Linked DNA regions of Rattus norvegicus. The protein of the gene in region 1 interacts with the protein of each later gene in a pairwise test. Links are inferred from orthologs where the notes say so. Each region holds a gene or a part of one and is shown in the gene's direction. Other genes may lie near its edges.

Evidence for each region.
Region 2: the proteins of Tfap2a (region 1) and Gsto2 interact in binary tests that used the Homo sapiens proteins (3 or more experiments, as listed by UniProt). The two-hybrid records come from large-scale screens. The link is inferred for Rattus norvegicus from reciprocal best matches to the Homo sapiens genes TFAP2A and GSTO2.

What each region holds. Positions count from the first base shown.
Region 1 is NC_086035.1:24,235,156-24,241,722, forward strand, and holds the start of Tfap2a (transcription factor AP-2-alpha), read left to right. Parts: upstream 1-2,527; 5' UTR 2,528-2,815; coding exon 2,816-2,842; intron 2,843-4,081; coding exon 4,082-4,516; intron 4,517-6,567.
Region 2 is NC_086019.1:256,691,545-256,696,320, forward strand, and holds the end of Gsto2 (glutathione S-transferase omega-2), read left to right. Parts: intron 1-2,045; coding exon 2,046-2,152; intron 2,153-3,299; coding exon 3,300-3,471; 3' UTR 3,472-3,610; downstream 3,611-4,776. UniProt on the Homo sapiens protein: Exhibits glutathione-dependent thiol transferase activity. Has high dehydroascorbate reductase activity and may contribute to the recycling of ascorbic acid. Participates in the biotransformation of inorganic arsenic and reduces monomethylarsonic acid (MMA).

The sequences.
Region 1 (6,567 bases):
CCGCCGAGCTTTGGGGTGGACACACCCCATGGTTGTGGTTGGGTGCTGGTGTGTTACCAGCCTCTCGGAGCCGGGGGCGTGGGAGGAATCCCTCTTCTACCTGTGGGCGCTAAACAGCGGGACCCTGAAAATCCTGGGGCGACTGCCGATCGTCTCCGGTTGCCGATAGTCCACTGGGATCACAGAGGACTCTCCCTTGGGAACCCATTTTAAAACCCAGAGCCTCAGAGCATAACTTTTGGGACAGCCAGGGAGGCATGGAGAAAACACCAACGGCTTGTGCAGGGGATGACCTTAGCCTTGTTAATTTTTTTTTTTTTTACAAACTCCACTGAAGGGAGCTGATGAGTGCGTGGGGGTGACTGAGGGGTGGGAAGCCCGTGATTATCCAAAACTGTGGTAGCCTTGACTTTCGCTATTCTTATTTCGCTTCATTCCTTTTGGCTTTTGGGGTTTCTGGCTGAAAGGTCTGCTCGCGGGCGCAGAGGCAAAAATTCTGTCTCCACTCGAAATCAGAAACTGGGTTTACATGAAGGAAGTGTCACCCGCTCCCTCCACTTTGCTTTTAAAAAGCCATTTTACTTTCTTTTTCCTCTCCTGCTCTCTCTTTACCCCTCTCCACTCCTAACCTGGCGGAGGGGACACCAGGTGACAAACAATATCCGTGCTTCTTTGGGGGGCTCCTGTGGTGCGCCGGAAGGGGCACAGGAACCCCACATAGGACCAGCCAGCTTTGTTTTCTAGGCTAAGGGTACTTTGGCCGGCAGGCCTAGGTACTCCTGCGACTATTTAAGAGCAGTTTTTTCCCTTAGGGTTTTGGGCTCCCTTCCCAGGCTGACGCTTTTTCACTTTCTTGGAACCCAGAAGTCAGTTCGAGATACAAGCGCCCTGAGTGGAAGTGTTAAGAACCTTCGTGTGGCTCTACACACCAAAGGGATCTCGAGGGTAGGGCGCGAGATGAACTTGAACCCCCCAGAGGGACTCTGGAGGTGCATGAGAGAGGGTTGGGAGAGGGGTGTGATGAGACTGGGGCCGGGAAAAAAAGTCTGGACAATTTCAACAACTTTGGTGGCGGCGGGATAGCCAGCGCTGGAGCAGGGATTTCAGGTTTCCGAGCGGGCTTGGAGTTGTCTGATTTAGCTGAGGCTCTGCAGGGACACGCAAGAGGCGAGGTGCCGCTTGTTCCGACAACCAGGCGGGCAGACTAGCAGTGGCGACGCGCGGGGAGAGCTAGCCCTGTCATCTAGGGGGTGTCGGCGGGAGTGGCCCAGCCAGTCCGACGGGTTTGTGCAGGGAGCCAGGAGCCCTTGCCAGAGGCGCCCAGGCTGGGCCGCTTCGCGTCTGTGCGCGCCCCGGGCCGCGTTCCGGCTCCGGCTCCCGCTCTCGGAACCCGGTCCGGGGACCAACCGAGATCGGAGCAGTCGCAGCCGACGAGCGCACGGCTCCGAGGTCCTAGGGAAGGCGACTCGCGACCAGGCGGAGGACAAGGGTTAGCGAAGCGGGCGGGTTGCTCCCAGGCGGGACGCCGGGCCATGGAGGAGCAGCGAGGCAGCGGGCAGCCGAGTCCCGAGTCCCAGGCCCCGCTGCGCAACAGAGAATCCCGGGGCCGGAGAGCGGCGGGAAGCACCTCCCAGGCGCAGAACTCGGTGGGCAGCGGCCAGCGGGTCCCCGGAGCTCCAGCTCGCGGCGCGCGACCCCCGCTCCATCCCGAGGTCTGCCCTAGCCTTTTAGGTCCGATTGTCCTCCCTCGCTTCCTCTCCCCCTCCCCCCCCCTCTGCCGCGGGCTCCCCCTCCGCAGCTCCGGCTCGGCCCCCTCCTCCCCCTCCTCCTCCCTCCCTCCTGCCCTCCCTTCCTCCTCCCCGGCGCTCCCTCCTTCCTCCCTCCCTCTCTCCACTCCTCTCTCTTCTGGTCGCCCACACTTTCTTTCGCGCACACGCACGCAGACACATCCTCCCTCTCCGCGCTCTGGCCCCTCGGCCTCCCTCTCTCGCCTTCTTTCTCTTTCACTTTTGCAGGCCCTGCAACCTTTTAAAATGTTGCCCCTTTGCTGTGATTCGCCAGTCGCCGCGCCGCGGCCCCCCGCACGCTCGCCCGCTCCCTCCGTCGCTCGCTTTTTGTCTCTCGCGCTCCCTCTCCCCACCTCCGATTTGCTACACTGAGACTCCCGTCAATGACTGCATTGAGAGCCGGCTCCGGCGCGAGTTGCCTCTCCGCTTCACGCTCGATTTCCAGGCATTCTTCCCTTATTAAGTATTCGTGTAATATTAATAGTCATGAATATCTGCTATTAGGAGGCTCCAGGAACGCTGCCCAGCGCGGTTATTAGAAGCTGAAGTGAAGCCGCCGCTAAGGAAAGAGGGGGAGACACGGATTAAGGAACACGCGCGCGCGCGCACGCACACACACACACACACACACACACACTTTTTCGTATTTTTTGGTGGGTTTTTTTCTTTTTTTGGTTTGGTTGTTTTTTGTTGGTGGTGGTTTTTGCTTTTTGTTTTTCTTAAAGAGCTCTGAATCCTAACCGATCCCGGGAGGATAGAGATCGTGGGTTCGACCAGTTGAAGGCGCCGCGCGACTCGGTGATACAAGTTCGGATGGATCCGAGCGGGGCTCCGACGCTCGCGGGAACGTCCGCGCGGTGACTGGAGTCCTGGGTGGCGCGGGGCTCTCGGCGCCTTTTGTGTGTGGCTCTTTCGGGCCGCCGGGCAGCCGGGTGCTCGAGGCGTGGTGCTTTTTGCTTTTTGCTTTTGTTATTGTTGTTGGTTTTTTTTTTTCCTCACCCTGACTGGTTACCCCAGATTCTTCGCAGATGTTAGTTCACAGTTTTTCAGCTATGGTGAGTCCCACCCCACCCCCAACCCTGTTTCCTTAGGAATTCTGTTCCAGAAACCCGCAGCCGAGAAACTGCCCGAGATCCTGAGCTTCTTGGCCAGGGTTCCTTGTGGACCTCGCCTTCCATTTGCATTCCTATCCCCCTTTCCTCTTTTCTCTGGCTCCTTTCCATCCCCAAATCCAACGCGTCGCCACTGCCCTGTCCCTGCTAGACCTCTCCGCGCACGCAGACCTACCCCGCAGCTCTTTCCCTGGGCCAGTTTCTCGCCGGGTTTGTCTTTCTTTCCTTGCGTCTTTACTAGTTTCGGAGACGCTCTCCACAGCTGATGTTTAATCCGTCTGTGGGGGGTGAAAGGCGCACCCCGGTGTGTCCCCTAGCCTGGGGCCTGATGGCTAAACCTCGGAAGGTTCCCGCTTTCTGGAACCCACCCTTGTCTTGCTTTGCAAGGGAATTGCAATTGAGAAACCTAAAGTCAGGGGTTTCTTTTGCCCTTTGGGGCTGGGGTGGAAGGGGCGGGGGCCTCCGCCCCGGGGTGCACCTCTTTCTTTTAAAAAGAACCCGGTAAGACAGAATCTTTCTGTTTTAAACCCTGGCTTGGCGTCCTTCACTCCCCATTCATATCATAAAAACGACCCTGTCGTGTAAAAAGCCTTCTAACAGAGGAAGCGGAAAAGACAGACCCCCTCCCCAACCATGCAGTTAAAACCTTTAAGCTGGTCATTTAAACGTGTGCTTTCTTACGGCCTCTATGTGAAACATGTTTCTATTTAATAGTCATGAAATGGTAATAGTCTTTGAAGGTTTATGATTTTCCCCCCTCAAGATTAATGGAAGAGTAAACAATAATGCCTTGGCAGACAGGTTCAAATCCGGGAAAAGCAAAGGCCGCTTCTCCTGTTTAATATTTAGTGGCTATCTGAATTTTGCTTAAGGGAGGTTTGGTACTGCGGCTGTTAAGGGTTGTAGCACAGGACATACTCTTTTATGTCTTCTTCCCTCCTTTGAGAGGAATGTCCGGGAGAGTCTGTTGTGCCACTAGATTTACATATTCTGATTTCTTTGCATTTTTTTTTAGAAAGGCCTGCTTCACTTCTTGGGTGTTTTCCAATATGAACAGTGTAGAGTTGATGCCCCTAGTTCGGTGGCCTGCCCACACTGGGTTTGTGGAATAGATCAAGTAGGATAGCTGAAACCCTGAGCCTCATTTCTTTTTCCTTCCCTTTCTGTCTTGCTTTCTTCCAGGACCGTCACGACGGCACCAGCAACGGGACGGCACGGTTGCCCCAGCTGGGCACTGTAGGTCAATCTCCCTACACCAGCGCCCCGCCGCTGTCCCACACCCCTAATGCCGACTTCCAGCCTCCCTACTTTCCCCCGCCCTACCAGCCTATCTACCCCCAGTCGCAAGATCCTTACTCCCACGTCAACGACCCCTACAGCCTGAATCCCCTGCACGCCCAGCCGCAGCCGCAGCACCCGGGCTGGCCCGGCCAGAGGCAGAGCCAGGAGTCTGGGCTCTTACACACACACCGGGGGCTACCCCACCAACTGTCAGGCCTGGACCCTCGCAGGGACTATCGGCGGCACGAGGACCTCTTACACGGCCCGCACGGGCTCGGCTCCGGGCTCGGGGACCTCCCGATCCACTCCTTACCTCACGCCATCGAGGACGTCCCGGTAAGAGGCCGTGCAGGCCACGGGAGGGAACGCAGACCTAGGCTCACCTGCCCGCTGGGAAGCTTCGTGGAGCCCAGGCCCTCAGGGCCTTGGTTTTCCTCAATAATAGTTGGGGGTGAGGGTGAGACTCACTTGAACAATCGACTTTTGAAATTAAAAAGTAATTGAGAACAATGCTTCCTGGAGCTCGCTCAACAAAGCCTGGGTCACCACTTCCAACCGACACAAATAAATCTGGCGATTGTCACCCTTCAGGTAGCTTCTCTCCGAGGCGGTAAAGTGTGTGGATCGAGGGAGAATGTAATTCCACTGCTGAAGGTGTCGTGTGTGTGTGTGGGGGGGGGGGTTTCTCGCTGTTCTAGGAAATAGGTTACATTTAATCTAGAGAGCTTTTCAGATGCGCTCACAAAGTAAAAGAAAGTATGGGAGACTTAGGAAAAGGTCCTTGAACCGGCTTTTATAAGCATTAGTAAAACCTAGAAGTTATGCCTTCTCTATCCTGATCAAAGGGACATAAGTAGCAAATCCGAGCACAGGGACATTAAAATGCAGCTTTCTTCTCTTCCTGGGGGTGCTAAGTGGTGACCTCATAAATCATTAGCTAGGTTCCCAACGCCTATCAGAGTCTGCTAACTGCATATTCAATTAAATGTTTGGAGACTATTGGGTGCTGTGTTGAGTTCTAATTCAGTTCTCAATAAATGCAGTTTTAAAATAATTTCTAAATAAGCAGGGCCTTAGCACACGTACTACTTAGAATGTAGCCCAGGCTATTGATAATTTGAAAATACGTTTAAAAATTAAATTGCAACCAGCATCTCAGCCTCAGCTCTATAAATTTATGACTTTCTTACAATCGTCCTGAAATGGAATATATATATATATATATATATATATATATATATATATGCACCGTTAAAGGTGCTTTTCTTTGGAAAGGAAATGTATCTGGATGTGATTTCTGCTAAAATGCTATTTCAAATTACTACATCAAATATAGCAGTGGTATGTCTGTTGACAGTTTAATGATTACTGAATTAGATTGTAAGGAAAACGGGCCACATGGACTTACCTGATTGCCTGGCGGATTTAAAACATTCTTGAAGTTCTACAGGAAAATAGAAAATTTATTACCTCTCTCATTTAGCCCAGTTAATCACTGAAATTTGTTGGTTATGCTTAACAGCCTTGCAAGGAACACAGAAAGCAGGCACTTGGTCCAATGCAAGGCTTAGTAAGCTCTGTGTGTGTGTGTGTGTGTGTGTGTGTGTGTGTGTGTGTGTGTGTGTGGTGTGTTCATATTTACATGCTTTTAGAAAATGATCCTTAGTGAATTTGAGGCAATATTTTATAAAAAAGTAATTTTGAATAGAACTAGAAGTTACGGTGATTTTAGAGAGGCTCTGAATTCTTTTCTTTGCCCGTTCTTTGAAAACACTCAAATAGCAAGTAGTATCTTAAGCTTTGGAGTTACCCTGCATTGGACATAGGTCTGCTTTTGCAAAAATGTCCTGTGGCTGGTGGGAATTCTTGATACCTGTGTGGTAAATCTTTGTGGTGAAATTGGTCAGTAGGAGAAATTAACCAAATGATCACATGAAAGCAAGAAGCCCAGCGTTCTTCTCACCCTCCCCCACCTTTCAAGGGGAAAAAAAATCTTTCAAAGGAATTTGGGTCAGGAAAAGGGTTGTTTTCAATTTTCTCATTGCTGCCACGGTTAACTTTTAATAAGAATGGCTGCTAAATATTTAAGAAAATCAAGTCGATGGTGAAAATTATTTAATCATTAATATCTCAGTGGGATTTTAAACTTAACAGTCTTCCCTGTATGGACAAGGTCTAGCTAGAAATAACAGAAATAAAAGTATTATGCCACACTACATTTACTTTATGGGTTTAGGGTGCATGCATAAAGGGATCATATTTCCCCATATAGTTAAAACACAAGAACTGCAGCAGTAGTCATTTCTGAACATTTCTCAATTTAATTATACTTAAATCCAGAAGCACTTTAGGCAAGTTACAAATGAGAGCATTGAGTATAATAAAAC
Region 2 (4,776 bases), on another chromosome or scaffold:
TGATCAGAGGATAGCCTTGGGTGCTGATCTCACCTCCACCTTGTTTGAGGCAAGGGTCTCTGTTTGCTTTCCTCTGCCTTAGTCAGGTTGTCTTCCCACAAGCTTCTCCAGATTCCTCAGCCTATGTCTGCACAGTAGTGCAGGGATCACCGATGTCCTATCTGGCTTGAGCTATTTTTTCACGGGTTTTTAGGATTTGAAGTTAGGTCCTCACACTCGGGCGGCAGGCACATCTGCACGCTGCTGATCCGTCTCTGTCACCTTAGATTATGTTAAAGTTGATTCTTTTGAGTGCTGCAAACACCAAATACCCCTTTGCAGGCTCTCCCGGTCTCAGTGTCTGGGGTTCAAAGAGTGGAGTAGCATTGTGTTTCTGAGGTACCACATTTACACACAAGGGAGCTCCTATGGAAGATCCTAGGGACAGCTGCAGGTCTCCAGGGAGGCCAGGCCAGGTCTAGTGTCACAAGGAGGAAGCTGTAAAGGAATCTGTGGGGAGGCCGGTCTCCAGCGCAGGAGAATGAGGCTTGCCTATACACCGTCCCCTCTCCATGCTGTGACCAAGTGTGTGACGAGGAGCAGCTTAGGAGGAAGGGATTATTTTGGCTTATGATTTAAGGTTCCTGTCAATCACGGCAAGCAAGGCCTAGTGGCAGAAGTGTCACGGTGGAAGTGGCACGTAAGGCTGCTCGCACACCTCTGTGAGTGACAGGAAGAAGGACCAGCTGCCGAGAGCGTGGATGGCCTCAGCGGGTTTGGCAGTTGAGCGCCTCCCACTTTGTTCTTCCCTTCTGTCTTAGTGACTTTTCTGCTGCTGTGATAAAACACCGTGACCAAGGCAACTTGGGAGATTTTGGAATATGCTTGGCGTTTGTTGCTGTTTCTACTCAGTGAAGTCTGCCTTGAGCGTTTGAAATAGGATCTCTCAGTGGCTCGGGACTCAGAGTTGGACTCTGTCAGGGACTCCGAGGCTCCACCTGTCTGAACATCCTAAGCTCTTGGGGAAGCCAGTGAGGCAGCCCTTCTCCACGGGCTCCTTACATTCGTGTGGCCAGCCCTTTACTGACTTAGCCGTTTCACCAGTTCCGAATGTACTGTTTGACTCTTTCATCTAAGATGGAGATCTCAGCCTAGGCTTCTTTCCACAGTCACCTGGCCTAGCAGCCTCTGCCAGCAGAGGGGGAAGTGCTGAGCTGGCTGCCTGCTGTGTAGGTCCAGTGAGCAGTGCACTTAGCTGGGAGCTTGGCGCCCTGGGGCTCTCTCAGGGCAGTTCAGCAGTAACTATTTTTGTGTTGGAAACTGCAGGCCTTTCATGGCTCTCTGGTCATGGTCAGTCAAAAGTCTGATTGCCTTAGAGTCCACCTGTGTGGTCCCATTTGTCCCATTCGAGAAAGACTGAGTTTTGTGTTATTGTAGAACGTTAGTGATGCTGAGTGTCAGGAGCTTGAAGGATTGGAATAAAAGAGGAAAGTATGGTAAAGGCAGCCGAGGACGCAGGGAAACCCACTGAACAGCATTGTCCCGTCTAGACCTAGCCCTGAAGCCACTGAGAAGGCAGAAGAAAGACCAATGGGGTCTGCAGCATCCCTGAAGTACAGAGTAGGCAGGAGATGAGGTCACGACTCCAGCAAGTGGGGTTTCTAACTGCTGGTATTTAGCCTCTGGCTCACATTTTCATGTCTCTGGGGAATGGGCAGGTGTTGGCTCGAGGCAGGGCATCCTTGCTCCAAGCTCGTCTGCTCTGGAGACAGCCTAGGACTTGGAGGAGTCTGGTTTAGACTAAGGGGAGGACTAGGCCACCTCTTCCTGAATTGCTCTTCCCAACTTGTCCAGTCAGTGAGCCGTGTTTTCTGTTGGGCGTTGAGGAGAGGCAGAGAGCAGGATGTGGTCAGGACATCGTGGGGAGGGAAGAAGTGGTCTCTTGGAAATAGGCAGGCAAGCTAGCTCTCCTTCCTTGTAATTAATATGATATTTATATTTGGCATCTGTGACACATGTCAGCAAACACATAAACTCACTGGCTGTTGTTCTGTGTATATTTCTAGATTCTTGAATATCAGAACACTACCTTCTTCGGTGGAGACTCTATATCCATGATTGATTACCTCGTCTGGCCCTGGTTTGAGCGACTGGATGTATATGGACTGGCTGAGTAAGACATCTGACTATGTGATTGCAAATTGAATGAGTGCCAATTGTCAAGAAGCTCTGGGTCCCACTGACTCCCCTGTGGACTGTCTTGGGATGTTTGTGAAACAAAACTCAGGGCTCCATACTGCTCAGGCATGCTTCCGTGTCCAAATGCATATATTACCTACATGTCTATGGCTAAGGCTCAGTGTGCAAAGCCCCCCAACCCCCATTGCTTCAGAGCCCACCGTCCCCCATGTATTCACAGACACGCAAAATAATCTAGTTCCCTCCATCGCCACACACATGGTCCTGCTGAGTCACGGGGCACATGCCACGCAGCCGAATCCCCTCTCATGTCCTCCCAAGTAGAAACGCCCTTTGAAAACCAGGTTTCAAAAGCAGCGCATGCATTACTCTTCATATAAACAAAGTAGCAAGCACGTATCACACAGGTGTCACACTTTAAAAGCTTTGTTTTAAAACTTTGTTACCTCAGAGCCAGGCCTGTGTAGTGTTGCTGATGCAGATTCCAGCCAGCCATGCCACAGGTACCTGACATCTCTAGGATTTGCAAAGTAGTTCTTTAGATCAGACATAAGACTAGGTGGTGAGATACACAGGTAACTCATAAACCCATCTCCTTCCAAGGCAGCGTGGAGATCCTGAGATTAGTAAGACCCTACCAAGTGTCCTGGCCTCCATCCCACCAGTTGTCTTACCTTAGCATGTTGTCTCTCAGACCCTAGCCCTGAATTCCCTTGTTCATGTTTGAAAAGGCCAGGGTTTCAGGGGTTCACGCTTGTCTTAAATTTATTTTTAAAGTGTTTAGGAAGCTACTCTCTTTTTCAAAGCCCTAAAAGTAAAATCTGCAAATGGCCTAAGACGGTTTACTAGAGAGGCTGTCAGTCAGTCAGTCATGAAATGAAGAGGCTTGATTCCCCTGCCTCAGTTCACAAGTGTTCCGCCACTTTCACAGAAGCCACTGTGACAGTGTCAACAGTTGGACACACCGGTCCAAGTAAGCCTTGTCCTCAGTGAAGATCAGGTTTACTGCATAATAACTAAGCTTATCATATTTCCCAAAGAAACCCAGATTTTTGTTTCTTTATAATCTACAGAGTGAATAGTGTCCCCTTTCCCAACCTTGTCCTTTCCCTGTCTTGCAGCTGTGTGAATCACACCCCAATGCTGCGGCTCTGGATATCCTCCATGAAGCAGGACCCCGCAGTGTGCGCTCTGCACATTGATAAGAACATTTTCCTGGGCTTCTTGAATCTCTATTTCCAAAACAACCCTTGTGCCTTTGATTTTGGGCTGTGTGGCCCAATCGTACGGTAATCCAGTCATTGCCCAGGATTCTCCTCATATCTGATTCTGCATCACGGGTCATCTTGGAGTCAGTGTATTTGTTTTTTTGTTTTTTTTTTGCTTTTTTGTTTTTTTGAGGTCCCTAATAAACATGGACGTGTAAAATATAGTCAAATTATCATGTGTCTGACTCCTGCAGCCCGCAGCTTCTAATGATTCCCTAGAAAGTGTCCAGCACAGAAGCACAAGTGCATTTTGGGAGCTAGAGTGACCCCTGGATGCCTGGCCTCTGGCTCGTTTGATTACTGGTTCCAGTGCCGGTGTTACCAGCCTCAATTGACAGACGTTTAGATTGGAACTCTCCAAAAACTTCTCTGGTGAGAAGAGACCTTGAGACGATGGGGAAAGAAGGAGGAGAAAGAAGAGGAGGAGATGAGGAAGGAAGGAAGGAAGGAAGGAAGGAAGGAAGGAAAGGAAGACAGACAGACAGACAGACAGACCCCACCACACACATTCTATGATTAAATACGTTCTTTCAGCAACGAAACTCTGCTGGCCACATGGGAAGGCGGGTGTATCATTCCTGTTCAAACTTTGGCCATGAGCCTGGGAGACACCCAAGGGTCTCGTGACTGGAAAGAATTCTAGAGCAGGAAATGAAACACCCGTTTATCACCCTAGACTAACTACGTCAGGATCTCACTGGTGTTGCCGGAGCTCAGGATGTCTCACGAAATGTTGTATTAACCAGCATCCTGTCTCGAAAACACCCTCCCCTCTAATCCCTCTCACGAGCAAAGGTCACTGCTGGATACACGTCACACAGCAGCTGCTTCCAACAGATGCCTCTGGTTGCTTGGTGGGTACCAAATCCTGGAGCACGGGAGGATAACTGATGGAGACACGGGTCCTGCCCCATGGAGATCTTTCTTCTCTGCACCAGCTTGGCCCGGGGGGTTAGCTGTGTACTAGGACTTGCCTCGCCACGATGGTCTGACTTGGCTTCCCTTCGGACCCCCATCAACTTGACCAGGCAGCGCCGTGGCACCAACGACTGAGAAAACCTCGGTCTGCCAGCAGGCGCCTTCAGCAGAAAGCTGCTGCGACCACTTCCTCCGCAGGAGGACTGTGCCATGCTGATTTATCCAGTGCATCCTCATCTGCCTGCGATCGTCTTGGCTTTGTCGTCTCCTAAGATTCTTCCAGCCTTTCAGCATCCCCAGCCACGCCCAGAGGCCAGGCGACAGCAAGTTCGATGTTCTGCCTTAACGTGTCCCTGATTTGGACTTGGCCCAGACCGACTCCCCTACCCCTGCGTCTCCGCTGCCTGTGCCA